Linked DNA regions of Lepisosteus oculatus. Each later gene encodes a partner of the first gene's protein in a complex. Links are inferred from orthologs where the notes say so. Each region holds a gene or a part of one and is shown in the gene's direction. Other genes may lie near its edges.

Region 1 (7,028 bases):
ACATTTAAACTGTAATGGTAAACACACACACACGTGATTTTGTTTTCAAAAAGGTGCCTCTAAATGCAGTGTTCCTAAATGTAATGAAGGTATTTTATAATGGTGGTACATATATTTTTAGATCGAGTCACATAAAGTAAAAGTAAAAGGTCAGTAAAAGCATAGCGCAAGATATTTAAAATCATCACAGCAATTTGGTTCATGACTTATTCTTAAATCTGAGCCTCATCATTTCACTGAAAATATTTCCTCTTTCTTGAATTGGTTGGAGGAGAGTTGCCAGAATGAGCAGCCTCCCATCCCCCACCACCGAAATCATTGAAATGACCTGAAGTTCCTGGTTAAATCAAGAGGAAAACCTCGTGTTGACCAGCAGAAAATGGTGAGCTTCAAAGGTGATGGAGGCCTCAAGTACGTGACATGGCACACGTGGCCAAACAGACCTCTCTGCTTTGACGATGTCGACCGGGAAGAGGGAAATCTCTTTCTGGGCTAATCTGGAAACCTGCGGGGTTTCACGGGTTCTTCCCAATTCACAACTGATCAAGGCCCTTAAGAAACTGGTCTGACTTCTTCCAAACACCATTTTGTCAAGCTCCAGATCGGAGCTGGACCTACACACCAGAGGGCCTGACAGCTCGTAAGAGGCTGCCCACTCAGTGCAGAGAGCCCAAAGGAGAATTCAGCCATGTTTGTTGAAGAGGGAGACCATTTTGAGAAGTGTGAAGTGCTAGAATAATTTTAAGTACCTTGTTCTGTGAAAGTCCTGGCTCACAAATTATGATGTACGTGAAGTATCTTTGATTGCAGTCGGTAGTCTTGGAAGTACCTTACATCTGATTTACATGCACTGAACTCCATTATCTGTGCCAACTGTGTGAAAAGATGGCAAAATCCAAACTCGACTTCCATGATGGATTAAAAGGTGGGATGCCGTCTCTTTTTTTAACATTGAGGCTGAGCAATAACTCGACAGCCGGAGAGAATGAATTGGTGTGGGCAAGTTGTACAAGAGAAAACACATCCAAGCACTTTCAAAGTAAGAGGGAAATTTGTTAGAATGTGTATAAATAGCTTGTGTTAGTGTATATATGATTCTGTTTTAGAATATAGTCTATATTGTTGTCCATTCAATGAAAGAAATGGAAAGAGGTAGTAAATTTGCCTAGTCTGGGCAACACTGGTAATTTCCAACAAACCAGAGGTTTGTTTCTTTGTGACTGCTGTACTAATTATATGTAATGTAAGCCAGTGTATTATAATAGTATATATTGTACTATACTTCGATCTGTACAGAAATGTTTTTTTCCCCTTGTTTGCTAATAAAACAATTGAAGTTACCGAGGATACAACATTGCTGTCAGCATGCGTGATGACTTTTCAAACTTAGTGCAATAAAGTAATTGCTTCACACTCTGGCGTTCCATTGTGTTTAATTAACTCCAGGTTACTCATCTCAGACCTACACATCTTAACAGACACTTTGTGTGTAGGCCAGTGCTTTAAATTTACTAGAAAAAAGAAGAGCTCAAGAAATCTGAAGATCACGCAATAAGGTAGGTGTCTGTACTGTGCTATTTGACATTACCAGCTTGATCCCAGATCTTGGATGTTATGTGAGACTGGGTGTGGTCATTCCTAGAAATGGAGACCTTGAAGCAAAACATTGATGCTGCTGTGAACGATCTTGGTGGATCAGTAAGTTGGACTGTTTCCTCTGTACCAGAATTTCCAATGCAGTACCTCAGTATGGTGATGGGGTGACTGCAGCAGGTGGAGACGACACCCTTAAACTGAGGTCCTGACTACCTGGTCTTTAAAGTGTTGTAGGACTCTTTGTAAAAGCAGGGTTGCTAATCCTGGTTTCCCCTGTATATATATATTTTTAATTGCATTTACTGATCTTAGATATTGGTATGATGTTTTTCAAGTCATTTCCTTGCTATCACTGATCTCAAATGAACTTGACCGAGTTTGACCCCCCCAAAAAAGTTAAAATAGAACCATCCCAGTGTGCAAGACCTATAAAACCTTTTCCCAAAAGACTCACAGCAGGAATGGCAGTGAAAGTGTCTTATGCCAAATACTGACTAAGGGGGCTGAATACTTTTGCACGGCACTTTATTTATATTGCTAAACGGGGTGTGCATTCTGACAAGCACTTTGAACTGAAGTGTGCCCGGAAAATAGCAACAATAAAAAATATTAATTTTACATTTATATAGCGCTTTGCTGGACACTTACAGGTAATGGGGACTGCCCTCCACCACCAATGTGTACAGTAGCTCTTGGCTGGATGATGCGATGGCGGCCAAAGAAAGGGTGTATTTTTATAGCAGCACTTTGGAATAAAATGCTGCTGAAACTTCCCGTTTTAAATACCATGGATGAGTTTAAATAGAGATGACATATAGAACACATAGCACATTTGCTTCGGTATTTGAAAAGCTGAGACACTAATTGCTCTTTCTATTTTAAAACGGGGGAAATAAAAAAATAGAAATATATTCGTTTGCATGCTCAGAAATACACTACTCTGAATACTCTGCGTTCGGACCTGTCGTTTTTTTCCTTTGCCTAATGCTAACTTCAAAAGAATTATTCTTATTTTGAGTAGGCAAAATAAGTAGTAGTGTTAATGATAATAAATCGCAAATTTAAGCGATTCTTCCTTTCAGAAATAATTGCTGTTTAGGTAATAAGACTTTTTGATGGTGACATATATCCTTTGCACTATCCCCTAATTTCTTTTTTCACATTAATGATACGTGAAGGCAGTTCTTTATAAAATAATGAACACCAGGGGGCAGTATTTATTAGTGTCAAGAATGAACTGTGCATTTGAACCGGTTCTTTTTTTCTTTTCATAAACCAAACATCCAGATTTACTTTATAAACCCACATATCTGCCGCTGCAGAGTATGGGTCTGACCTCCAAAGTTAAATGTGACTCTTCCTCTCACTTTAAAATACAATGTTAAGTTATATTCGGTATCAGGTGTTATTTGCATTGCTTCTTGCCAGCATGCAAAACAAAGACGTTTCTGAATTTTATTCCCCCCGTTTTAAAACAGAGCAGTTTGCGTCTCAACCTTTAAGAAACCGAAGCAAATGTGCTATGTGCTCTGTATGCCTTTAAACCATATTTAACTGGCTAAAAGTCTTATACATGGTGGTATTAAGACAAAGCAAATCTACATAGTTACATAGAAGCAAATGGTTACAAACCGACGTAACAAGTCTCCGTTTTGAAATAGGGTATTTTGAAATAAGTCAGGTTCTAGCAACGTCGTATGTTTGCTACCTATCAAATAATGATTTATTTAGTCCTCACAGACATCTTTATGGAATTTTTTCATTTGTCATATTTTCTAAGTATTTGTAGGCTTACTTGTTTAATTATTCCGGTACATAAAAAAAAATGAAATGACGGACTCGCGCCCCCCTTCATTATAAAAACAAAAGTAATTTTATTTGCAGCCTAATCCGTAAAAACTACAACTCCATTGAGCACATTGGGACTCACCCCCTCCCGACCAAACAAAATACGTCACACGCCGCACGGCGAGAGCGAGGGACCGCCCACGCCTCCGACCAATCAGATCCGGGGCCGCGTGCGCAGATTCAAACATTTTTCTAGAAGGAGGTTGGGCGCGAGAATCGGCGGGATGGACAAAAAAAATCCGTAGCGGCGAAAATAACACAGACGCGCTGTCATCGCAGAGGAAGGGCGAGCGGCGGCTGACTGGGGCTCAAACAAGGGAAAATATGCGCAGTTCGGCGTCCGTCCCCCCGTTGCCACACCGCGGACACTGACAGCACCCCGAGGTGGTGACAGTTGCAAAGCCCGGAGAAAGTTAGCTGCGCTGCGGAGGGACTTGGTCACACAGAAGCGGCGCTCCGAGGTGGCTCAAAATGTAATCGCGCAGCCGGGATGTCTCCGTCGCCGAAGGACAGGCTGCACTAACGAGGACTGACAGCGGGTGGACGTCGACCTTACACCGCTATCCCCCGAAGCAGGGAGGCATCTGAAGAAGAACAAGAGGAAGGAGAAGGCGACAAGTCAGCGGCGGGTCGTGCTCCGGGGCTCGTCGGCAGACGGGGTCGCCATGGCCAGCGGGAGATCGCGCAGGTGAGTGCCGACTCCCCTCCCCGCCTTCGCCAGACCTCCCCCCGGGAGCACGGCCTGTGTGCACGACTATAATTACACGCTGCGGCTGCACAGCCGCCTGCTCCCGCAACTTCAGAAACGACTTGGGGGGCAAGGTTCTCCGTTAACGGTGTCGCCAGGTGTGACTGGACGCGGCGGGACGGTACAGTCGCGATGTGATCGTGTGACACATGTCGACCTTGTCTTTCTCCTGCAGTAATTTTACAGCAAAGTAGGAACTTGGATACTGAACTCTGACAGCGTGCAGTTAATGCCTCCCGTCTGCAGATGCTCACTAACTCCCCTCACTTCACTGATAGCTCGCTACTGCGCTGGCCCCTCTGCTATTCATTGCCGTTTGATTTAAAACGCCGAAAGCATGTCCCTGCCGATTCGTGCTCCCTGCCACATCAGCACCTGCTTGTGTGACTTCTCCTGTCCTGTAGATGTGAGTGGATTCGCGCTCCGGCCAGTTAGAGGGAGCGGTGCCAACGCCGGGTGTTTAGGGGAAGGTACTTCACTCGGGATGCTGCAGTTAACGCTTTCTCCACCGGCACTGCTCAGATCGCCATCGACCTGTCTGAGTCAGTAGGAAACTTGGATCAGTTGAAAACTGTATCTAGTGCACCGGGCTCCTGTCCAAACCCTAGTGCGCTGTTTAACGTCATTCATTCATCCATCCACCCTTCTTATCTCATAGTTACTGTTTATTGTGGTTTTAAAAAAAACATTTTCTACTGTAAACCTGATGCCCAGCTTGCTTGGATAGATGGCTTTGCATTGCACCTCGGACTTGGGCAGCTGAGAGTAAAAAAAATGACCTGGCAAAGCGTTCACAAACGAGGCGAATGCTGCACGAATCGAGGGGGTATTTTTCAGGCTCATTTCTGTCTTGGCTGCTGTTTTGATAATCGCTTTTCTTCCCCCCCCCCCCTCTGGCTATGGTTCATCGAGTATATTATGAAAATTAAAAACTTTCCGTTGACGGGGAAAACCGCGTTCCCCTGTAGTCTTAACTGCGCGCTACATTCTCGGGGTTTTTGCCTGCGCCAGTGAGGTTTTTTCAGTCTTGCTCGCTGCACCAGATGATTTCAGTACGTGAGGTATTTGTACCTTGTCCAAGACCGTTTCGCACCTCGCTGAGACTGTTAGGATACACTCTGTCTGCTGGGACCTCGATCAGGTCGGCTAGACGTATAATAAAGTACAAAAACAACAATAATAACACGCTTTTTCTGCAAAACTACTTAAGGCCATGCATGTACTGATTGAACAATGCGGTACTGTAGCAGTCCTGCTTTCTGCTTGCTTGCGAGTGGGATGAAGACTATTTGAGAAATGCAGTCTAATAAGAGGTTTTGCTTTTAAATGTTTTTTCTCCTTGTAAGGTCCTGTGTAGTGTTTTGTTTTAAGAAGAGGTCATCCACTGGTCTTTTTGCCATTTTCATAGACGTAGGCAGATTACATAAATCCTGTGCACAATGGAATGACATGGGGAATTAGCTCTGGTCACATGCAGCAGAAGAATGTTTTATAAACTTGTAATGTTTCCTTTTTATTTTTGATTCACTCTTAATAATCGACATCTAGCAATACTGGCTACAGATAGTTTTTCATTTCACATTACTCACCGTCCTTTTTGTATTTCTGAACTTATATCGAGCCCAGTTTTTCTAAGCAAAAAGCAACACTCGGCTATGTTTAAAGCTGTGATGTGAAAATCTGTTACATTGCAGGTATGTAATATTAGTGAAATTGTAGTTCCTTAAAGACAGTGATCTTGTGAAGAAATGCACCCAATGAAAATGACCTCCTGGACCACAAATCACTTTGATTAAAGTATGCTGCTTAGCTGCAGACATAAAAGAATACATTCCAGTTGTAGACAGACTGTTTTTGTTCAGTTGTTCTTAGGAAGTGTGCCACCCATCTTCTAATATTCAAATCTTGTTTCATTTTTGTATAATATTTTATTTTTTGTTTATTGGGTGATCACTGGCTCATAAAAGAACCTTGGGAAAGCAGATGTGTTCTGTGTCCCTCTGAACTAAGGAATAGGTCTGTCATAAGTTACAGCATAAGTCTTGAAAAATACCAGATGCTCAGTATTGCAAATTCAAAACAAACACGTTTCTAAGCATGCTCGCTTGATTTTATTTCTCTTTAGTCCCATAGCTACTACTGGTTATCTTGGGAAATTGGGGGAACAGCTAATTAATTCCTCTTGAACCATCCTCAGTTGGACAATTTAGTCCCACCTATCTTGCTTAGACATCACAAAGACAGACATCCCAATGTGGAATTGAACCCAGGAATCTGGAGCTGTCAGGCCACTGACCAAGGCTGTGTAATATTAAGCTCTTTCTCTGCGATCCATCATGATCATCACCCATAATACATCAGTTATGGGCTATTACACAGGTTGCTGATAGGTTATTGATCCAAGAATCTTATCAAGCTGGTTCCTCAGGAACCCGAGGAATGAACTTAGTGCAAAGGCTGAGTCGTTTCATCTAGATGCTTGTAGAATGCCTGCAGTTTTCTTGTTATTTCAGATTCCATGGGTTTCAAGTGTTTTGAAGGTGGTTGTATTTCCTCAGCTTCTTATTCTCTTTTAAGGTCTCTAGGGTCACATTAGTTAGGTTCCAGAAACTTGTTTTAAGAACTTGTTCCTCTGTATTAGTCTTTGTGGAAACTGCAATAGCCACAAGCAGGATAAAACTGACAGGTTATCAACTAAGCTTTATGGAAAAAGTGAGCTTTCCATTATTCTTGTCTATTAATGATTCATACATGTATACTGGTGATATAAGCCTTTGTTTGTTAAAGAGCGACATGTGGAACACTCTGAAGTTCAGGAGGTGGGGGGGGAGGGGGT
Region 2 (7,897 bases), on another chromosome or scaffold:
GTTGTGTTTGGACAGAAACGCGACAGGGGCGGACTCACGCAGTCCTCGAAATACGTCTCCTTCTGCGTCCGCCAGCGTCTTCCCCTGCTCCAGAGTGATCAGCTTGGCAATTTCTTTCTGGAAATAACACCAGCGATGTGAACAGACTCAGGGTGGGGAGGTTACTGGAGGTGAGACGTAGAGGTAGCTCGGGGGAGTCCGAAGAAGAAGCAAAACAAGCACAAAGTCATTCCTGCGGGTTTGGAAAAGGCCACAAGGAGGACCTTTCCTCCAAATTCATTTTGGGACAGAAAAGGACAATCCCCACAGTGATGGTGGGACTCTTACCAGGTTGTCTTTGATGAGCTGCTGGTAGCGCAGGAATATCTGCTGACGGGTGAGGACAGAGGTGGCTGACCAGGAGTGGAAGGCCTTGGTGCACGAGTTCACAGCAGCCAACATCTCCTCCTGCGTTGCTTTGGGCACTTGGCCAATCACTTCATTCGTGGCCTGTGGAACAGCAAACCCCACAGCAGGTAAATCGGGACTAGAAATCAGGAAAAAACCACATTTGTTTCCCAACGACGCGCTTTTTCTTTCTCCTTCCCATTCTCTGATTGTGCAGTGCGGAGGTGGGCAACTCTGGTCCTTGAGTGACGCGTTTTGTTTCTGGTTTTCATTCTATCTCTGACCCTGGCAGCATTATGAAACCAATTAAATAAGAATTTGTGTTTTCCAGGTGCCAATCTGGTGCTGTTTGGAAGGTACCTCTATACCCTACAGAAACAAAGCATTTGTTCCCTACCCTTGGTGTGATGCATTAAAGTTACAGATGACAGAATTAAGATGGTTCCAGAGAGACTTTTCTTGTAATTTTGTGCACCCAGGGCCAATTTAACTAGCTTGTGGCAGTAAGGATTTAGCAAAGCTCCTTGAAAAAGCACTTTTGCCAAACGGTTGAAAGTAAATCAGTAAATGGCAGAAAGATAACACACAATAATGATGTAAAGCCAATGGTATGACAGACCCACGTCACCAATATGTCACTTGTGATTTTTATTTTACTTATTTTTCTTGAGATTACATCACAGGCTGTCCTCAGCCATGCCCGCTGGAGTCAGACAAACACCATTTCCATATCTAGACTGACCTTTAGAGCTTGGTTACAGCAAGATAACTGCTGAACTCAGAAAATTATATTGCTTAATTATTAAGCAGTGCTACCCGACATACAAGTTCTTAAAATAATTATTAGTATTTCTACATAATACAATAATAGTAGATTTTCATAGTGAAACACAAAACATACTTTTCAGCATGATGTAACGATTAAATGTAACTTTGTCTTAAATGATAGTATATTTTCTGTTGGCTGGGTTTTTACTTGTTGAACTAAATGTTAGTCAATAATTAATAGGCATGGTAGAATATACATCTTCAACTAAACTAGAGTATTTTCTATTTAAGGACAACATAAAGGGATTAAAGCAGTCACATATTCCAGACAGAGGCTGATTAAAAGTGCACAGCTGTAGAGATCAGCCATCTGAATGTAACTCATTGCATCATGGCAGGTGTTTGTAATTAACCTCTTTCACAGAGTAGCAGGCACGGGAGGCTTTTAAAAAGTGAAACTGCCAAGTTAATCAAATATGCTGTCAATTAAATTCATAAATAAGGATGCAAGCATTTGAAATTGAAAGGTTTAATGCATCCTTCCCTTTATACAAGTGTTCAGGAAGTGTTAATGGGTACTTACAGGATTATGAATGTCAATCCATTCTGAACTCTTGGATTCAATAAACTTTCCATCAATGAACAGCTTGGTTGTGGGCTGTGGAAGGAAGAAAACTGTAAATAATTCAAGAGCTTCATCACATGCAGTAAGAACCCAGTAACAACAATAATAGTGTTTATGAACAACAAACCCTATTATCCCAGATGCCTCTCATCACAGTGAAGGCTAAACTGCCTGAATTCACGTGGAAAAAAATCAACAGAGACTACATTACATTACCTTGGATGCACAGCAGAATAGAAATGAAATTTTGACCATCGCATTTCTTCCCATTAATTTATAAAATGAAAGAAATGGACCAACTCACCACAGAGGAGGAGAAGTACATTCGCCCAACACCAAGGGGCACCTGGAACACAAGAGCATGGCAAAGATAAGCTTAGTGAAGTAAACACGCTGGTAAGAAGGCAGAAAAGAAGCTGTCGTATAACTAAACTACACGTTAGATTTTGCAAAAGTCCTTCATCGGCATTCATTGAGAAAAACAGCAACATGGCCTTGAAGCTGAAAATACTGTACAGTAACAAAGGTAAAACAAACACTCATTCAGCTTTTATTAGAGGTCTCTTAGATCTAACTCAACTGAAAATTCGATGAACTATAAAACAATCCAGGCATCCATTTTCAGACCGCTTCTTCCAATTCAGGTTCCTTGTCCCAGCAAGCAACGGGCACAAAGCAGGATACGCCCTGGACGGGACGCCAGTCACTCGCAGAGCGGACGGACACAAGCATTCATCTGGAACTGAAGCCAGGGCCCCAGCTCTGTGAGGCAGCAATGCTGAGCAACTGTGCCACCCGACATATAAACCTTTACTTTTAAATCATTTACTGAACTGTTAAATTTGTAAATAATACAGCAAACAGCCTATGTCCACAAAAAGAAGCCTACAAATGAAAAGAACATTTGAAATAAAAACACATTGATATTTTACAATTATCCCCACCATAACTGAAAAGTGCTGTAAGGAATTTTGTATATGCATTTTCTCCATTTGCTAATTAGTAATCTCGGTATAAAACACTTTGCCTTGAAAGGGTGGAAGGAGTGCACATCAAACCATCAGAAAGGCTACAAACGAGAGGCTGTTGGCCCAGTTTGGCTGCTAGGAGCAGCTGATTCAAGTTATCCAGCTGTGTCTTGAAAGAAGATATGTATCGACTTCGACAACATGGCTGGGAAGATTGCTCCAGACTCGTACAAATCATTTTGTACAAAACGTGCCTCCAGTTATCAGTCTAAAAAATGTCAAACTTTAAAAAATCAGTTTATGATTGTCCCCTAGTCTTTATTTCGATGTTGTAATTCAAACATTTTCCCACTGTCCTTAATACAGTATGTTATATCCACCTTTACTTAAAGCTGTAATCTCAAACTGTGCTGGCTCCACAACACAGCAAACATTTTGCTCCTTAAGGCCTATTGCATAACTTCGGCAGTGACACACAGTTTGTATCTTATGACCCCTGACAGTGCTTCTGGATGATTTTCTCTTAACCTTCAAATTTTGCATTTAAAGGTTGGCTGGGGGGAGTTACTTATCTAAAATTGTCATTTGTGTTTAAAATACATCCAAAAGAGAATTTGTATTTTTCTCATTTTATTTAGTTTTGTTGCCTTGTTTCAGAGTGTTCAACTATCCTAATCTAAAGATCTAGAGAAGCAAGTGAACTAGATACCCTGCAGAAGCTTGATGAAATAATGTGTATCTTTAAATAACCAAAAAGGCTTTTAATCGCCGATTTACAATAAAGCCTTTTATCAGTGCAGTCAAAAAAAAAATTGATTGAAATAAGACTCTTTAAATTCTAATAATTGTGAGCTCTTGTTCTTTTTGTTGATGGTGTAGATAGCAAATATTGTATACATTTATGCAGTCAAATTGAAATGTGAAAATGCACTTCAGCAAATGATAAAAGGTTAAGCATGTATGGATCAAATTACTGTTCCATGACTCTTGTTTGTTTGCATGAGCCCTCTTTTTCAGATCAGAGAATGATTTTGTTGAAGAATACCAGAAGTACTGGCAGAAAAAGACTTACAGCCACGGAAGAGGCAGCATTTTCCTTTTTTGACAAATGACACTGAGTGATCAGGGAGAACTGGTTCTGATACAACACCTAAATGATGAAGTGCGTGTTGGGTGAGGGGGTTAAGCTAGGCAGGAATTTAAATATTAGGAAGTTTCTATACCGACAAGATCACAAGCACATCTGAACTTCAGTCTCTGAGCACACCTTGCTTGACCTATCCTTACGAAAGTAAAAAATCTAGCATTTTACTTTTTTTTTTTGCATGAGCCCACCTGAGTATAAGCAGCTTTTATTCTGCAATCTCTATTTCCAAATCAAATGATCACATGTAATTTAATAATGCGGCACTCACTGCCAGGATAATTTTAGTTACCAATCAATTTGGAAAAGACAGCTAGAACACACCGCATATTTTTAGCAATAAGCGCACGAGAAGTGTCTTGTATGACTTTCAGGCAAGAAACTCCAGGAATGCGCTGGATACTAAAAACTATCGAGCAAGGAACAGAATTGTGTAAACAAAGAATCTGGGACCAAACCAACCCATAAACTGTTCACAATGCACTCTTACCTTATTCCTCCACACGGATCTGATAATTGCTGTTGCCATGATTGCAAATTATAGCTCGCTATGAATTAAATCCCTAATAATTTCACAAGATTAACCCCCGCCCCCCGTAAATTTTTGACAGCAAAGGAGAAACGACAAACTCCTTCACACACACTTATTCGTGATGGGAGGGGAAAAAGACATGTTCCACCAATCGTTATCTCGGGGAAAAAACCTCCCACCGCTCTCGGAGGAGAATTGGTTCCCAGTTTTCATCCACCTTGCTCATAGCCTTAGAAATTAAGACAAAACCCGCCCAACCTCGGACTCAATTGGGCGAAAACTCTCGTCATGGTGACATTCATTGGGTGTTCAAAACGTGAAGGATTCAAACCTCCATTTGACAGGTTTATCCTAATGCCATTCATTATGTTTAATCGCCAAAGTAGATTAAATGTATTATGTGTCAGTTACTAAATAAGTAAAAAAAATAAACGTAATGAGTACCAAATTATCAATGTGGTTTACGTATGTAATTAAATATTCAGAAATTTAAAAACTGCATGAATTTATCAGCAACGGCAAACAGGCCCCGTTGGTCACGTGATGTTGTTTTGAAAATGGCGTCTCCCAGTGGAGGTAAATTCTAATTTCAGGTTTATATGACTTTCTGGAAGAAGGGTTTAGAAAGCTTTTGCAGTTTCACCGAAAGAACTATTTAGACAAAATATCGCATTTTTGAAACTTAGGTATTTTCTTACGAATTGTCTTTTTAAATTTGAGTGGCCACTACGGAGATGCTTCGTAACATAGCTGTCGATTTGCTAGCGTGTTTTAATTAAATAGTAATTTAGGTATTGTATGTCGTACGTAATAGGATGGGTTTACATAGGTGTAGAGAACCACAAATGTGTATTTTGAATAGGATCGGACTTCTAACTCTGCATACTTGTAAAAGGGCAAAGAAGCTATAATGCTGTGCATTTTATGTTGTCAAATAATAGTTTTATTTCCGTTTACGTTATTTTCCTGATTAAGCTCTTTGTTAGTTATAACTTGTACTGCTATAATCGAGGTCATATATTGTACCTCGTTACAGGAAGCATGTAGACATTTATGATGTAAAGTGTAATGCATGTTGTTTTGTAATCAAGGTGATGACTTGGAGACCTCTCTGCTGAGCTTTGAAAAGTTAGACCGGGCTTCACCAGATCTGTGGCCGGAGCAATGTAAGTTTTGACCTCCCTCACATGTGCGCGAAATGTCTTTGGTACAAAAACGATTTGCATGTCTGCTATTCACACTTTCAAAACATTGCATTGGTCACACACTAGCAAGTTTCTAGACATTCGCGGTCTGGAGGGAAACTCCAATTCGTACAGTTCGCTAATACAATACTCTTCGAGTGCTTTCATAATGTGAATTTAAGACCCGGTCTGCTTGCTTGAGGTGTAGCATTATAAATGGTTATCTGGTAAGTTGTCCTGCAGTCCTCTTTTATTTGAGCTAAATTACAATGTTCATTTTTAATGATGTAGATCTCCTTTCTATGAAGGAGATAACAGATTGAGCATTCATGCTTAACTACAAGGTCCCAGGGCACTTGCCAGATTGAAGTAACGGTATAACCCTATTGCCTGGTCAGGTTTGTCCTTTCCAATTTTGTCTTTTCTTCTTCACGCTCTCAGAAATCAGCAGTCAACTGTTCCTGTACTGTTCTCCTGACCCCCTGACCCCTTTATCTTGGAATATGTCGGTTCATTGTGCATCAAGTTTGTTTTTTTAAACTTCTATATTACAGTGCCTGGTGTAGCAGAATTTGCAGCTTCTTTTAAAAGTGTAAGTGTTTTTTTGTGCTATGTTTCTTTTGCACATAAATAATAAACCTTCATGAACGTATTATATACTTTATTTTGTAGTTATTTCTCGGGAGAGTGAGTTGGGGGAATGGCAATTTACACTGAAGTGATCGAACCAAGAAGAATTGTTTGTATTTTTTTTATTGGCTTTGCCATTATAGTTCTGTTTTACGTTTCTTTCTGTAGCCAATAACCAACTCCCCACCCAAGTGGATGGCTGAACTGGAGAATGATGACATTGAGATGTTAAAAGGTAACAGTGTAGCATTGAGTATTGTAGTCCATCTGTAGTGTTGATTTTGAACTTGCTATGATTGTTCTTGTGAAGTAAGCTGTGGAGTTTGTGTGGCGTGGAGGTCAGCACTGTTTCCTCATAGCCTTTTTGTCCAGGGTTCGAACCTGGGCTGGGCTACCTTCCGTGGGGAGTTTGCATTTTATCTCCATGATCAAGTGGGTATTTGTTTGGTGCTTCTGTTTCTTCCCATCTTCCAAAGACATGTCGGCTGGTTTCATTGGTGTCTCTTTGTATGTGTACTGCAGTGTACCGGCAACCCATCAGTGGGAACTCAGTGTCTGCTGGGTGGGGCTCCCGCTCTCACACCTCTGCGTAGGATAACAAATGGGTGAAATATAAACCACTCTCAAACTCATTTTAAATTGCTGAAGGACCATAACTTGTCTTTGTCACGATAAAGAAGAATAGAATTATACAAGATATCTAATAGATATCTATTAATCGCTCCATCCAATTTAGGGTTAAGGGAGCCTATCCCAGCCACCAGATAACACGAGGCAGAATACACTCTGGGCAGGATGCCGGTCATTTGCAGGGCAGACACACACTCACACCAGGGCCAATTATCCCAGAAGCAAATTAACCTAATAGGATCATCGGAGGAAACCCACATGAACGCAAGGAGAACATACAAACTCCACGCAGATAGTACTGCAGGTCCTGAATTGAACCCAGGGCCCATCACCATGCCACCAGATGGAAGATAGACAGTGGAATAAAATGAAACATCCTTTTGAATATATTGGATTTGGGGAGTGAAACACGAATGTGAGATAAATTAGAGACTGGAAATGAAAAGATGGTAGAGAGTACAGTGTACCTGTTCTTCTAGATTTAGATAATCTATATCATGTGTTCTGTTCGTTTGCATGAGGCCATCCAAAAGTAGATTAAACACAATGTGAATTTTTGCGTGAAACAAAATAAATTTTTTCCATTATATTCTAACAGCATAAATTCAAAGACTAATGACATTTTACTTGAGTTATTAGAAATCATTTTTTAGTTCAGCATATTTAACCCTAAGAATTAGTAATAAGATAAGATATCTGTCTCACATGTACCATCTATAGCTCAGGGATAAGATATTGTATCTCAGTCTCTTGTTGTTAGCTCTTTGCAACCATATAGTTTTTTTTCTAATTCACTCAGCCCCTGATTCCCCCTACCAAAACAAAACGGCTCAACTTAAAACACTTTTCATCTGTGCATCTTATACAGTGGGACCCATGACATTTATTTGTTTGTTATTATATTTTTAGGAAAACTAGCCTAATTCCTAATATTTACTACATTTGACCTTAGCCTCTGGTTTTTCGTAAAAAAGGCCTGACAGTCTGAATTCGGTGTCTTCTTGTTTGCAGAATTAGGGAGCTTGACCA
Region 3 (7,427 bases), on another chromosome or scaffold:
TTATGTCTTAGATGAAGATCAAATCACATTTTAGGAGCCATTCATGCAGCAATCCATATAATTCCTAAGGGTTCATGAACTTTTCTCACAACTGTATATCACCCTGCAATTTACAGCTAGCAGCCCACTGAAGCTAAGCAGGTGTGAGCCTGGTCAGTACCTGGATGAGAGACCTCCTGGATGAGAGAGAGAGATCAGTATACTGATTGGGACACTGTGCTTTAAAAGAGGCACCGTCCTTAGTATAAGATGTAAAACCAAGGTCATTTAAAATCCCAGGGTGTTTCTTGAAAAGAGTAGGGGTGTAAACTCCTGTGTCCTGGGCCAGATTTCCCCCCATTATTATGACCTCCTAATAATCCCCATCTTCGAATTGGTTGCTTCACTCTGTTCTACTCCCCTGCTGATAGCTTGTGTGTGGTGAGCGTTCTGGCACACTATGGCTGCTGATGCATCATCCAGGTGGATGCTGCACATTGGTGGTGGTGGTGGAGGGGAGTTCCCATTACCTGTAAAGCGTTGTGTCCAGAAAAGTGCTATATCAGTGTAAGGAATTATACTGATTAGGAATTATTAAATATAATAAAAATAATAATTATTTATTTATTATTATAAATTTGTTTATCTGGGTTTATTAATGTAAGTTAAAATCCGTCCTTGGTCTCTACTCACTACCTTCCGAGTAGGATTCCATTTGTTACAGTTTACTCTGAAAAGGAATTCCATGCCCTCTACTCCAGCAGATAGCAGTGTCCCAAATATACAATGCCAAATGTGCATTTGGGTTACTGCTAGAATACCGATTTATAGCAGATGCCTAATTTTAAACACAAGTAAACAGTATAAAGTTTAACACATATGAGTGTTCTGCTAGTTATTATAAAATGCAAAGGCAGGGATCTTATTGCCAACACAAGCTGTAATGCCATAAAAATAGTATTTTTGCCAGAGTTTTCAGCGAAAATGAAGCATGTGGAAAAGGCATTTGATATTGAACTGTATGTGGTGCAGTAAAGAATGCAATTTAACCCAAACCAGCTCTCAGAGGAAGCATTTGTCATTCTACACAATGAAATATAACTCCTTTTTTATACTTTATGAATTAAACAGTGATATGCAGAATAATTCATCTATAAGCCTATTAATTAAGAACATAAGACAGGTTAGAAATGAGAGGAGGCTGTTTGGCTGTCTAGACCGATTAAGAATAAAACACCTTTCTTTGGGATTTGCTGCTTTCTGAACAGTTACATAACTGTTGCACAGACACACTATCTATTCATTCAATATTCTTGTACATTAATACCTGAACTGTAGGTGACAGGGATTACAAGGACAGTAACTCACTGTTCCCATCTGCTAAAAGAACTTTAGTTTAACACATCTTCACACATTGGCAAAATGTGTTTAAACAACTGACTTTCCATCGGCTTCTGTAGTATTTTAAGTCTCAACCTTTGACCTTTTGTAAAGGCTGGTGTCTGGGCTGAAGGGTGACTATAGTTCATCTGGGATAATCTCGGAAAGATTCTCTGCAACAGTACCATCAGAAAGCTCTAGGACTAATAGTATTGTATTAGAGTCATACTCAGGTTTAATCGGACAATTTATTTCTAAAAAGTCTAAATACAAACACAGGCAAAATAGACAAGATTAAATCAAACCTTTAAACTACCTGAGAACTGGCGAGTTACACATTGAGTCCTTGATGGCTTCTTTCCACTGATTAGCACACCAAATTGCCTTCAAAAATTGATTTTTACGTTGTAGTGGATAGAGGTTTTTACTCTGAGTTCAGGTCAGGTAATCTTTCCTTCATAATACATGGTCATCATGTTTCCATAAATCTGGTAGTATTGAAATTATTTCTTGTCTTTTGTCTATCTTCCTTTTCCTTATGTGACCTTTGTTTTATTTTCATTGTGTTTATGACATTTATTTTTCCATGTATTCTAGTGCAAATTCTTGTGAGACCCTATTTTTATAGTTCAAATTGCTGTAACAGACTCCCAGAGGATGTTATATGTCTAGCTTATAAACCCAATTCACTTCAGAATTTCTGCGCAGGCCATGTCAATTTACCTATGGAGGTTAGTTTTCAGTTTAATAATGAGATACACTAAACACTCCAAATCTTAAATTCTATCATAACATTTTTTAGCTCTGCCAGTCCAGAACTATTCTTTGTATGGTTGTTATTACAATATTCAAGAATTAGTTTGCCATTTTGCTGTATTATGTCTTGAGAATACTGCAAATATGCATCCTCACCAGGTCCGTTGATGTTCCCTGTGGTAATTATTCCGTTCCATTGTAGTTTCCTCTGAAATAATCTGTTTAAGAAGACATCTGGAGACATCATTACTGTCTAAAGGCAACTTGTGGGAGTAAACTTGGTGTTAATAAATTGCACATTGACTAATGGCATGGGAATGATCCTGAAGTTCATTTGTTTTGGATTTGTTTGTTTTTCCTTAATAAACATTGGTACTGGAGAATATCACGCACAGTACAAGTCCTGTCGTGGCTGATTACAGTGACCTCCTTCTACAGAATCTCTGTCAGTTCCAAAGTGCTTTCATACTCATGAGAGTCTTGCCTTGGGTATGGTCCTAATTAGCTGTATTAACAGTGTGGTTAACATTATGGCCTTAAAAAGGCTTTAGGTTGTATACAGTAGATAGCAGCATTACTCATTAACACTACAGACAGTTCTTCTACACCCCAAGGCATGAAATAAAGAACATCTTACAAAAATCGTGCTAAATCCCACAATAAGTTAATAACTTCCTATTTTGCCTGATTTCTTTTATTATTAAATTTTAAATAGGGAATGCCTTGGAAAGAACACACTGTAAAGGGATTGTTAATAAGCTTAAAAATGAGCAAACATATAATAAACCTCAGAGGTAAAAATCTAGCCCTTGTTCTGATGCCATCGCCCCTGTTATCTGTATTACAGAAGGATTTCTCTATTGTATTCTTTCTGTTAGGTAGACAGAAATAGTCTGAGTAACTTTTTCTCACTGGCATTATAAAAGTCTAAACACGAATGTATTTTGACAGTTTTATTTGCTCACTAATCCATTTTAATTGGAGATTCCATGCCCCTTTCTTTTAACAGAGCAGAGATAATTGAAAAAATAGATAGGCAAGACTGTGTTTTAGATTCCTTACATCAAGCACCTGAAGTCAGAGAGCCTTTAAGGGCAAAGGAGAAGCTGATCATCAGCTTGAACTGCTTTGTTCTGGTGTCCATCCCTAACCATGTCATCTACACAGGTTAGTGGAGCCAGCAGAGGTAAGCAAGAGGCTCGAGCTGAAGTTGCCAGAGGAGTGTTGGAAATAATCAAGAACCCACCAACACCAGGCAACAGAAGGACACTGGAGGAAGCCCACTCTCCAGGGGAGGAGCTAATCTCTGAGGGAGGTATTTGATTTGAAAAAAGTGAAGCGTACCAACCAGCATTGTTTTTTATTGCAGCTGTTGCCCCTCTTGCATTTTAGTAATTTAAATCTAATTAAAAATCCTGTATGGTTACTCTGTCATCAAAACTTTTACTCTGTATTTAACATAATCTGAATTTGACTAGTCCAATGATTTATGAGAAGCAAATAATGGCTTTATTAAATGTCTTATAGCACCCTCTTCAGGCCCAGGGATTTAAAAAAACAACTTCTGAAAAGACCAAAATAAATATTTCAAGTACATGTCATATATATAATGAATATGCTATTACAAATGTAAATCATAGGCATTAAACCATTCTTGTGTATATGCATATCTGCCTTGCATATGCCTACTTTTCTGTCTACTGTAAACACTTTGTGATGAGCACAGTATGTAAAATAAACCTTTTCAGGTTTGGAGATATACAAGATATTTTGTCTTTTACACTTGCCTATATTTTTGTGTTTGCTAAAATATCATTCTGATTTGCCGAAACTCCCCTGGTCAGATGAGCTGTTTCCAGTATTTGCTAGCAGAAGAAATAATTGTTATTTTTATTTAGGGAAGAATGTGCTCATATTAGATTTCCTACTATTAATGGAGAAATACCAAAATTAATATATGTCATGAAAAATAACATTCAACAACTTTTATCAACAATAATCATCTTTGAGTTATTAGGTATGAGCAGACACCTAATAACGTTAATATATTTTAGTTTAAAGGCAACATTACAAACTTGTTCTGTCTCAGGGAGGCCTGGTTATGTCACAACCCTAGTCTCTGTTATAAACCAGAAGTTTCACTTCAGGAAATCATCAAGTAGCTAGAGTGCAGATAAGAGTAGTACACAGAACATTCTTCTTCTTCCGTCATAGGTGTGCAATGCTAAGGTTGTACTGTAAAATGTTATACTCTCTAGAATCACGAATTAAAGAACAAGCCAAATGATAAATTCAACTTTAAATTACAAAAATACTCGAATAACAAGCGCACTAAACATCCATCCCGCATTCGAACTGCCCTCTCCGGCAGTCTCTGTCCCACAATGCATTCCGACCGGCAGCCTTTGAAAAAGCGGCGCGGCTCATTCAAGATGGCGGAGCTGGAGCAGCTGCTGGACGAGAGTGAGTAACAACAAAACTGACAAGCGGTTTAAAAACTGATAAAAATGTTCGGAAACAGTATTTCCAAGAGTAATACTGAACGGACACTGCTCAAGTGTTTCTGAAAAACACGCCCGAAATGAATTTGGACTGCTTAACGGAATTGTTTCTGACGCGAATATTTCTTGTTTGTGCCATGATCAGCTGCTTTTAATGAAGTAGCTAATATCAATACAAAAACACAGAGGTGAGCATTGTGCAACCTTTTTGACAGTCATTCTTTAGGTACACACAAAGGAGAATTTGATATATTTGTGTATCATCAACGAAAAGGTATGCAGGTCTTCCCCTTTCTAAATCCACAACAACAATTTAGCTGGAGCCTACGGAGAATAATAAAGCTCTGCGTTTCTTTACACTGACGTGTTCATTTTAACAACTTTTTTATTGAGCGATGCGAAATTCTCTTGTGTAAAAAAGTACCGTGAAATGTCTATCATTTTTTGTACTGTAAACACATTGTTTACCTGTGTGCTCAAACAGCTCATGACAGGAGTGTTAACTGGATAGCAGTGCATATCGAATGCCTGCTGTACAGTGAATTAAATTTAAAAATCTGCAGAAAACGTTATTGGAGCTTGTTCGTATTTTAAATGAGATGGATGGTTTTCCATTGATATTGTTTTGGTAACATTCTCATTGCATTTCATAAACTTAATTGTATCTTAGCTATATGAATACAATTTAGTTGTACTGCAGAACATAGTGTTATTACAATATGGACAAACTATACTCTTCTTGTTGAAAGACAGTTCTGTAAGCAATGGACTGGCAAATTGGAAAACTTAAAGATCTCTATGACTTGTGGGACAATTGGCCCTGGTGTGAATGTGTGTCTCTGTGTCTGTATGTCCTGTGATTGACTGATGTCCCATTCAGAGTGAATCCCACCTTGTGCCTGTTGCTTGCCAAGCTATGCTCCTGCTTCTGTGCAATTGGGTTTATTGGGTAAATTGGTTAGAAAATGGATGAATGGAGATATCTATGAAATTTTCACAATTGGAAATGTGGAATTGAAATTATCATCAAAAGTGTAGATTTAAAAAAAAAAGAAATCTTTTGATATTCATTGATTTCCATGTTTTATTTGTGACAAATATTAAACAAGTGCTCTGGTAATGGACTGACCTTCATGCAAACAATTGCGGAAGAAGGACTTGGATAGATTTAAAGGTTTCCAACATGCATCTGTTAGGCAAGAAACTGTAGCTTTTATACCATAATGAAGAACCTTGGAATGGGTATTTCAGTGGTTCTCAGTCCTGGTTCTGAAATTTGACCTTAATCAGTGATGCATATTGTTGGTAGGCTTACTTTTTTAGGAACCTAGGCCTTGGTTTAAAAAATACCCAAGTACTGTGTAACAGCTTTAGCATACAACACTTTATGTAGTCTCTTCTCAGCTTAAGAATTTCTTTGATTTTCTCATTTCTAAGGTTTCTAAAATCTTGTGTGTCTATTCTAGCATTGCTCATGTATTTAACAGAACATGAATTTAACATTCTAATGATAAAGAAAATTAAAAATGATTTTATTAATTTGAAGAATACTTTATACTGTTATCAAGGAGATCATGTTCCTTCATGTTGCCCTCCTACTATGTTATTTACAGCATCTTCAATGTCCAGTCAAAGAATCTCCCTGAATATGGAGTGGCAAAATGCCACATGTTCTTGTTTTTCTTGGCTGAACTTGCTAATAATTGCACACATTTTGTGTTTTCATCATATGGCCTTTCTTGGAGTGACAGATTATACATAGTTTGACTTCTGGTTTTGAAAGTAAGTGCAGTTAGTTTGTTTTATAGAGCTGATTTTTCAATTACATATGTATCCATTTCTAAAATGTAGGCTAGATCTCCTTAAGTTCTCCTGCTGATACTCACTGTCCTTTATAGATGCTTTTTCAGATGAAAATTAAATTACTTATGATGACAAATTTTCTTATGGTGGATTGTTGAATAATAAGTCAACAGAGTCATTTGGAACAGATAAGACGCGATTGTGGATTCTGGCAGAAGACGTAGTAGTTATTTAGCTATATCTCACAAACGTAGAAAGGGTAAAAATATATATGACCCCACTTTATCAATAATATGACCAAAAATATATTTGGGCTACCTGTGAACACGCATCACTTCTCTGTCACAGGAATCTCCTGAAGTAGAATTTTGAACCACAGTGGCATATTATTGGGTTATTACAGATGATATACTTATTACATAAACTGTAGTAACCAAATTGTTATACTCTTATGTTTCACCTTCCTGACAGCATCTCAAGCTATGCCATCCTTTCTGCTTAGCTGCTCGAATGTGGATTTAGTTCATCTCAGATTGTGATGAATTGGTTTAAGATGGATAATTTTTTTTTTCTACTGCATGCATCATACCCATGTTGTTTTAAGATAAGATCACTTTATTAGCCCTATACAATTTCTTGCATTAGGAATTCATCTTTTCCCATACCCCAGCTTGCTCTCCATGAGACACAGACAGGGAGAGTAGCTTGGGGTCAGAGTGCAGGGTCAGCTATTTATACAGCCCCCCTGGAGCAGCTGGGGCTAAGGGCCTTACTCGGGGGCCCAACAGAGTAGGATTCCTCTGTGGGATTTGAACCGGCAACCTTCCAGCCACAGGCGCAGATCCTTACCCACAGTGCCACCGCACCGGTTTAGACTATTGTAGGTGACTATGAAAGTGTCTCAAAGAATCTATAGACAATGGGTAATGCCTAGATAGTCAACATTTCCAGTTCTTATAGCTTCAAACCAAGGAATATTTACTTAGTTGTGCTGGGAGCGAGAGACAC
Region 4 (7,801 bases), on another chromosome or scaffold:
AATGTGCTGCTGCATGATTTTACTGAGGCATTAAAGTAAAATGATTCAATATGTATTATTCTCATGAAGGTTCCCAAGTATTAGAATACATTGGGTGTAAAAAGATGATGTATTGAGTGATTACAAGGGAATATTACATGAAGCTCTTCTGAAGAATGCCAGGGTACATGATTTCATGCGAACAAAAAAGTAAGTTATAAAAGCTTTATTTCATGGCTGATTCAAAAAAGACGTCAAGATATTTTCTTTACATATCCTGTTTATTTTCTCGACCTGTTCTGATCTGTGTTACTTTTATATTGGGGAGCATAACTAACTATACACTATTTGCAATGTATGTGTTAATGGGAGTGATATGAAGAATGAGTATCCCTTATGAATGTAAACAGACCAGCTAGTCCTTAATAGAAAGATTTGCCCTTTTGCCTAATATACTGTAAGTAATATGATGTATTTTTATATTTATGCAGAAATTAGGTGTCATAATAATTCCAAATGCTTCTCTCTTTAATGATGATCAAAAATTATTTTTAACTGTGACATACTGGCCAAAATGAGGCCTGCACTTTCCCTTTTTTTTTAATTAAATGCTGTCATTTAATTTAAAAAAAACACATTTTCACTCTGTATACCTCCCTGAGGAAAGCAGTCTCTTCTGTTCCTGTGTAGAAGTGTGGGTCTTTCTTGGTCCTTAATCTGGAAGTGTGCCTTTTTGTATTTCTGAGGTTTACAGAGCTGGATGCATTAGATGCATAGTATCTAAACCAAACTGCTTTGTTTATTGTTTTGAGGAGGGAAATATGCATAACTTTCAAACGGCAGCTTCCTGAACTTGTCCAACAGGTTGTAACAGGCTGAAATACTGCTTTGCTTGTGAAAGAGGGGCAGGTGCCACACACAGAGGAGATATTATTTCATGGGCTGCTTTTTCTTCTTCCTTCGCTATAGTAGTAGTTGTCTTTGCTCTTTGTCTCACCAAAGGTATTGTCTGTTATAGAGCAGTTTATAGATGCATTTTATTTCAAGCTCAGGCTTATGTGCCAATATGTATAACCATCCATTTCCTAGAATTTGTTAAATAATAAATTCAATGTTTACAGGATCTAATTGAACACAAACACTGGGTATAATTAAACTGTGAAAATGTACTCCTTTTTAAAAATAGTATATTTTTAACTGGAGTATTTACATGTTTAATTTTGAAATGGAATGTTTTTTAATTCCAAATCATGCATTTTTAAACTGCACTTTTATAGTACTACCTCTGTACTGCATTTTGCTGTTTTATCACTAACACCAAGATTTGTATTTGCCATGACTATTACTTTATGATCCCAAATTTCTGGAGGCTTCAGTTTTTATAGAAATGACAATCTTGTATAGCAAGGTTAATGTCATTTAATTTGGGGGAGAGGGGTTGCTACCTGATTACAACACTGTAGAAACGTATTTCAAATTGTTTTTGTTTCCTACAGCTGCTAAAATATGACATCATCAAAACTTTATGCATTAAAACCATTAATATACTGTATATTTAAAGTAATTATAAATGACCTCTGTATAAGATTGTGTTCTGTTTTGACTACATTGAGGCATGGAGGTTTACTCCAGTATTCTTGTTCATATCACATAGCACAGTTTGTTAATTAGATTGTACAAACGGTGTCTTTCAGGTTGTGTTAATAATTATTTTGCCCTGTTTTAGGATTTATAACAAAGTGTCTGATTTTCCTCGTGGGCGAACCTTTGGCATGTGACCTGTCTTACTCATTAACTTTGGAGTGAACAGTTTGTCCATGGTTTTTGCAGAGGGGAAAAAACAGTACTGACGAGTGAAATTCAGATAAGAAGTTGCAAATTTCATGTATTATACATTTTCATCATCTTTACTATATCAAGAGAGCATTAACAGAGTATTAATAAGCTGTTAGGAATTCACCTTTACTGACAAATTGTACATTTATGGACTAAAGTCAGTTTGTTCTCATACAGTATATAAATGGTTAAAGGAAGCTTCAGTAACCTGCGATGGAGTCGTTAACCAGATCCCATCTAGGGTGACCTGGCCTTGCACGTGCTGTTTGCAGTGATAGGCTCTGGCTCACCCCACAACCCTGAATTGGAATAACCAGTTAGAAAATAGATGGATGGATAAATTAACTGGTCAATTATTTGTTTGGTTTAGGAGTTATAAGTGATACTTTCTAAAGGGTCTCACTTAAGTTTAACTCTCTGTACTAAAGGTCTATTAACATGTGTTTAATGATTTTATAAAGAGTTCTTAAATTACACACCTCTAATCCTAGGGGTGTAATCAGAAGTAGTTTTTTTTACAAATGTAATTAATCTAAACTAAAGTTTGGAAATGATCAAAGTTTGCTGACTGTTAATGTTGTTATTATGTTTCAATTATAAAATATTTAGAAATAGAACTCCTAATCTAAAGTGTTACTGAAAAGGGATGCATAATTTACAGAGTATCGAACTTGGCATTAAGATTTATGACTTAGATTAGTCGGACTCTGTGCCAGGCCCGATAGGCCGCGATCCCAGCACGTCTACTGGTTGGCTTAAGAAATCAGCCATTACTAACAGAATAGTGGTGAAATAAACTAGATAGGTACCAGACCTCACTTTTATATGGTGGAAAGTCAAACCCTGGTATACACCACTGCATACCACTTACATGAACTGGCATGAAAATGGAATGTGCCCCACCCTACCCTCATACCTACACACACATGCACACCCTTCTCTGTTTAACTAACAGGCGGTGATGGTGAAGTGTTATGCACAGACACTTTAAAATCAACACCATCACCAAAGCACAGAATAGCTGTACCTCAACAGAAACTATCCGTGTGTACTGTCTTTGCATTAGAGCTAATATGATTCTGTTGTTGGTTTCATCTTTGCATCATAACTGTAAAAGTTAGTTGAATACACTATGTATCACCCAACCTTTTGAAGCAGGAATGTCCTGGCAGGGACAAAATGCAATTTTAAAGATTTTGAAACTGGTTGTTGAGCTTAATTTAAGCTGTTTGCTTTGAAAATTATTTTTACTCACATTATAAATGAAGGATGCTGCAACATCTTTAAGCATCCTTTCTAGAATAGGTGATGAGTCCCTTTCAAGTCTGCAGTATATTAAAAGGTGATTTTAGCTTTCCTAGATCATCATCAAAGAAAACTAAGGTGTTTACTTCAATTTCAATCGTATAATGAACAGAACTACTTTAACTTGCACAATTCACAGATTTATTGTGTGTGTTATTTCACCATACCAAAGCCATTGAAAATGGCACTTGTAGATAAATATTCCCAAATTGTCCCTGGTGTCCCTTAACAACACCATGTCATCATGTTCACTGGTACAGCAGGTATGGAATTGAATTGTGCTCTTCATCCAAACTTGGAGGGAATGGGGAGTAAAAGGGTGGATTGTCTGTCTTGGAGAGGAAATAACTGCAGTAGGCCACATAAGATCCAAGAACTTGAATGTTGAAATTCCCAAATTGGCTTTATTGCTACCCAGTGGCTTTATTTCTGGAGGTTATACCTTTGTAAAATTGTAAAAGTGTGTGGGTGGGCCTTTATACAACAGTTTTTCTGAAGGTGCTGGTTTGTGTAGGGTACAACAAGGTGGGATTTCCACATTTTTCTGGCGGCATAACCGATGAACAAGACGTTTTTCCTGATGAGGTCTCTCAATGTAAAAATCTAATCAAACGGAAGTCTACAAAATCCCTCTACATGACCTTACTCTGGATTTGAAAACATTTATAAGCAGGAGTTCCAGGTTAAGACACATTTAGTCCAGTCTCTTGGTTGGAGAAACCCTGCAACAGAGAAGTCTCTGCTGTTAAGACACGGAATACTGGGAAGGCTTCCTTCTCATTTAATTAGATGAACTGTTATTATTTTATGGAGCCTAGGAGGCGAAAAGCGGGAATATTGTTTTTTTTCTCTGACGCACGACTTCTTAAGTCGTGACTGTGAGATAATAATGTCGTGCGAAGAAGATATACCTCGTGGCCAAACCATTCTCAACGATGTAGATGAAGTAAAAGCACAATCCTGATGGTCGTGCAGTAGAGATTTACGTAATGTCATCCCCACTACTTTTCTTGCTTGCACGATCTGTCCTGCGCACGAGATAAAGATGTTCTTTCCCCATGTCTCTTACGTGAAGGGTTACAGTGAACAAAAACGGACACCCCTTTATTAAGTCAAGACAAATCATTAATTATCATTATTATAATTTGAGGTATCGCAGACACATTTCCTTTGTTTTCGTTTTTTTAAGATACCAGCATATGCAGAGATGACTAATCATTTAGAGATAAGTTGGAACGACTCGCTGTTTGTTGGTGCAAAATGGAAACAAACTATTTTGATATCTCTTTCAATGATTTACAGGGATACAAATCTGAACTGTAAGGGATCGGAGAGTAAATTACCGTTCACATATTTGCAAGGATATTTCCAGAAGTCTCATAAAGTACTTTGAGGTGTCCCCTAAAGTTTAGGTTTCTTAAAATGATATAAAAGACATCCTGAAATATGAATCTCTAATTCATTAACAAGAAATATATCAAAATGATGGGTTTCTTAGATCCGTACTGTTTACATATCGGCCTGTCTTCTTTGTAAAAAGCCAGATGACAGCTCCGGTAAGGAGGGGGGGGTTGTCCAATCTGCTTTCATCTGGTGTCGAGCATCACAGACATGCGTGTCCAATCAGAGCGAACAGCTGCAGCCGCCGCCAAGCTTGTGTGCGGAGTCTGTTCTGACAGGAAGCGGACGACAGTTGCTTTGCAGCTTGTTTCCCTTCTGTTAGTGCAACTCGGGCAAAGACCATTGACGTTCACCCCCACTTTCAAAACTGTGCGGGGGGCAATTTCGCGCAACACCCGCAAGACGCCTAGCGTCAGGATAGCAACCAGCCTGGCGCCCTTCGGTAGTTTCAAGCTGCGGTGTATTTCTTTTAAAAAAGGCTGAGCTGATCGTTACAATAAGCGAACAAAAAACTCCCGAAAGACACAGCCCGCAGGGTAGGATAATACAGCGCATCGATTCACTGGAAATTGCTTGGATGTCGGAAGCTGCAAAAATCAAGTTGTGCTCGAGATTTTTTATTGAAGTCTATTTTCTGCACTTTAGACTTTAGTCTTTCCAAAATTGCAACTTTACAGTCTAGCGACCTACAGTACTGTATATCACTTGATTTGAAAGCGAGTTTATCTCTTCGTAGAATTTAAAGCTCGTATTCTAAGGTCTAAAGCTCGCTTTGAGTGTCGAATCGTAGACATCACTTTGTGCACATTTTTAGCTTATTTAGTTTATAAGAATTTTAGTCGACCGATGAATGCGGTTAAGAAATCGCACATACTGAAAACGAAACTAAAGTTTGCCCTTGACTGTGAATTCTTCTACAAAAAACAAAATGGTAAGTATATTTGACTTATGCTTTTTAAAATCGTTGCCGTCTTTAACTGTTAGTATTTCTTTCTGGATTTGACAAATATCAAATAATGCGACGGTGTAGGGTTTAATATGTTTATACTACAGTAACGCTAAGATGTTTGTAATTAAATTGTCTGATGTGCAAGCTTTCATTGACAAAAATGTACATAATTGGACTGCCGTGTGCAGTATTTATTTTATGTTGCAAATGCTATATTATATTAATATATTACGTCCAACTTGGTACAGTTTTGTGATGCAAACTAATTCGCGAGCAGTAAAGGAAACATCAAATGCCAATTCTGTACAAGACGAATTGGGCTATTTTTGCAAGAGTGAAAATGCAGAAAATGGTTAACATCCTGCTTTGCATGCGCGGTGTACCGGCCCTGTATGATTTCCGAGTAAGTTATTCCAGCCATCGTCTACAAATTCCTCTTTGGGATCAACATCACTCATGCCAGAGAGCCTCCTTTTGAATAGGCGTCCAGTTCCTGGCAGTGTTGTACATCTGCTCACATGCTTCTGACTTAGTGTGTTCTGCTGAATTTGATTTCTCCCTTCATGTTTCAGAACTGCTGTCATTTTTAAACGGACTGATTAGCCGTCCCTTTTTCATCTTCCAATTCCATTAACTCGTGATCTAAAGTGGGCAACCCCAAACTCGTCCAGCCTGATACCTAAAGATTACAAAAAGATTATTCACAAAAGCGTTAAACCCAAATATTCTACCCCGTAATCACAGGTATCTTTTACATTTTCCGCTCTTTATTAAAAACATACACTAAAAAGACGTGAGTACTATGGATGGCAGGGGGCAGCACTGTGATGTCAGTGTCAGTGAATCTTAGGTCTTGGCCCTGGGTTCAGATCTAGCCTGTTGGACCTTCTGTGTGGAGTTTGCATGCTTTCTCTGTGTCCTTTTTTTTCACCAGAACCTCCGGTTTCCTCCCTCAAGCTGTCTAGCTTAGCAGGCGTCTCTAATGGCTTCCCTGTGTGAATGTGTGCACTCTGCGATGAACTGTTGTCCCATCCAGGATGTAGCCCCACCTAAAGCCTTGCTCTGATGGGGTTAGGCTCTGGCTCACCACAACCCTCTAAGGTTGAATCACTTACTGAAAAAGGAATTATTTCTGCCATAGAGATCATCTTCCTTTTTTTTTTTTGTTCTGAATTTTTTACTTCATTTAGAAGACTGCCTCATCCTTTAGAGTTTCTGTAATTTGAATGTATTTAATGAAAGCCTTTTTTAATGTCCACCCTGCAGCTAAGATTGGATCTCTTCCGGTGCTTTCAGGCTGCATTAAACGTCCTAAAAGGAGATACAGTGTAGGAGCTCATGTTGCGTCAGTGTTTTATTATATGGTAGATTGGAGAAGTGGCCTTACGCAGACTTGCTTTCTCACAGAGATGTGCAGGCAGTGAAGTCCCTCAGAGTGAGATAAAGAAGTAACCGCACACATTCAAAATCCTTTCTTAGTTCCCACACTTCATTTAGTACAGCCTTATGAGACCAGAACTTTTTCAGGACAAAGATCCTTGTAAGGTACGGATTGTACTTGTACAGCATATGGCAAACAATGTCATGTCTGGCAGGAAGAAAAGTGTGAATCTAAACCTACATTTGTTGAGGCAGGACTGTTAGAGCTGCTTCGTTGGTGTTTTTGCATAGTACAGAACAACAAGCTGTCATACTTGTGGTGGACATCTGTTGTGCTTGTACAAACGGCTTAAAGTAATAATCTCTTAGTGGCAAGGCTGTGAAAACTGAGACCCTCCTGGGGTGAAGGGGTGGTGTGTGTGACAGGTGTCTTAAGATATTTGCTATCCTGCATTTCAGCAAATAATGGTGGGGTTGGGAATATGAAAGTTCAGCATCAGCTGCTGCAGTCATACACTTCGAACTGTAAAAGACCAGAGTTGTTATCAGAGTGTTGAATTGTTTTCAGAGTGGTTCTCTCCATGTTCTGATTGCCTCTATCACACACGGCACATGCCTCTTAAGTACGAGAGTGGATGACGTAAAGGATCGCCGTTCTGAGGGATCTGTGGTAAAACCTTTGTGCATAGTCTGAGATCCTTACCTGTGGAAAAGCAATTGGACGGCCATTTCAGCATTTCTCTACAGTTCAGTGAGCTAGCTTTGCTCGTTGTGAAAACAGCAGTGATCACACTGGCTGAAATAAAACAATATTTTCCCTGTTTAAGGAGAACTAATTATCTCCGTTTTCCTTTCTATGTATAATTGAGTCAGTGTTTTTAGACTGTCCCTTTTGCTTCAAGCAGTGTGTCACTTCTTGGTAGGTAGCACACTGTGGTACTTCTGATAGTT

The links.
Region 2: mybl1 (region 1) and lin52 share a complex: the UniProt entries of both Homo sapiens proteins name them as parts of the DREAM complex. The link is inferred for Lepisosteus oculatus from reciprocal best matches to the Homo sapiens genes MYBL1 and LIN52.
Region 3: mybl1 (region 1) and lin9 share a complex: the UniProt entries of both Homo sapiens proteins name them as parts of the DREAM complex. The link is inferred for Lepisosteus oculatus from reciprocal best matches to the Homo sapiens genes MYBL1 and LIN9.
Region 4: mybl1 (region 1) and tfdp2 share a complex: the UniProt entries of both Homo sapiens proteins name them as parts of the DREAM complex. The link is inferred for Lepisosteus oculatus from reciprocal best matches to the Homo sapiens genes MYBL1 and TFDP2.

The regions. Positions count from the first base shown.
Region 1 is NC_090701.1:51,408,530-51,415,557, reverse strand, and holds the start of mybl1 (myb-related protein A), read left to right. Parts: upstream 1-4,022; 5' UTR 4,023-4,109; coding exon 4,110-4,132; intron 4,133-7,028. UniProt on the Homo sapiens protein: Transcription factor that specifically recognizes the sequence 5'-YAAC[GT]G-3'.
Region 2 is NC_090703.1:9,641,060-9,648,956, reverse strand, and holds the start of lin52 (protein lin-52 homolog), read left to right. Parts: upstream 1-4,895; 5' UTR 4,896-4,924; coding exon 4,925-5,000; intron 5,001-5,515; coding exon 5,516-5,590; intron 5,591-6,162; coding exon 6,163-6,200; intron 6,201-6,406; coding exon 6,407-6,473; intron 6,474-7,879; coding exon 7,880-7,897. Other genes in the region: aldh6a1 (methylmalonate-semialdehyde/malonate-semialdehyde dehydrogenase [acylating], mitochondrial), read right to left, coding at 39-117, 328-489, 1,739-1,813, 2,085-2,126, 4,383-4,421.
Region 3 is NC_090697.1:55,789,290-55,796,716, reverse strand, and holds the start of lin9 (protein lin-9 homolog), read left to right. Parts: upstream 1-4,411; 5' UTR 4,412-4,499; coding exon 4,500-4,578; intron 4,579-7,427. UniProt on the Homo sapiens protein: Acts as a tumor suppressor. Inhibits DNA synthesis. Its ability to inhibit oncogenic transformation is mediated through its association with RB1. Plays a role in the expression of genes required for the G1/S transition.
Region 4 is NC_090708.1:15,800,262-15,808,062, forward strand, and holds the start of tfdp2 (transcription factor Dp-2), read left to right. Parts: upstream 1-4,788; 5' UTR 4,789-5,452; intron 5,453-7,801. UniProt on the Homo sapiens protein: Can stimulate E2F-dependent transcription.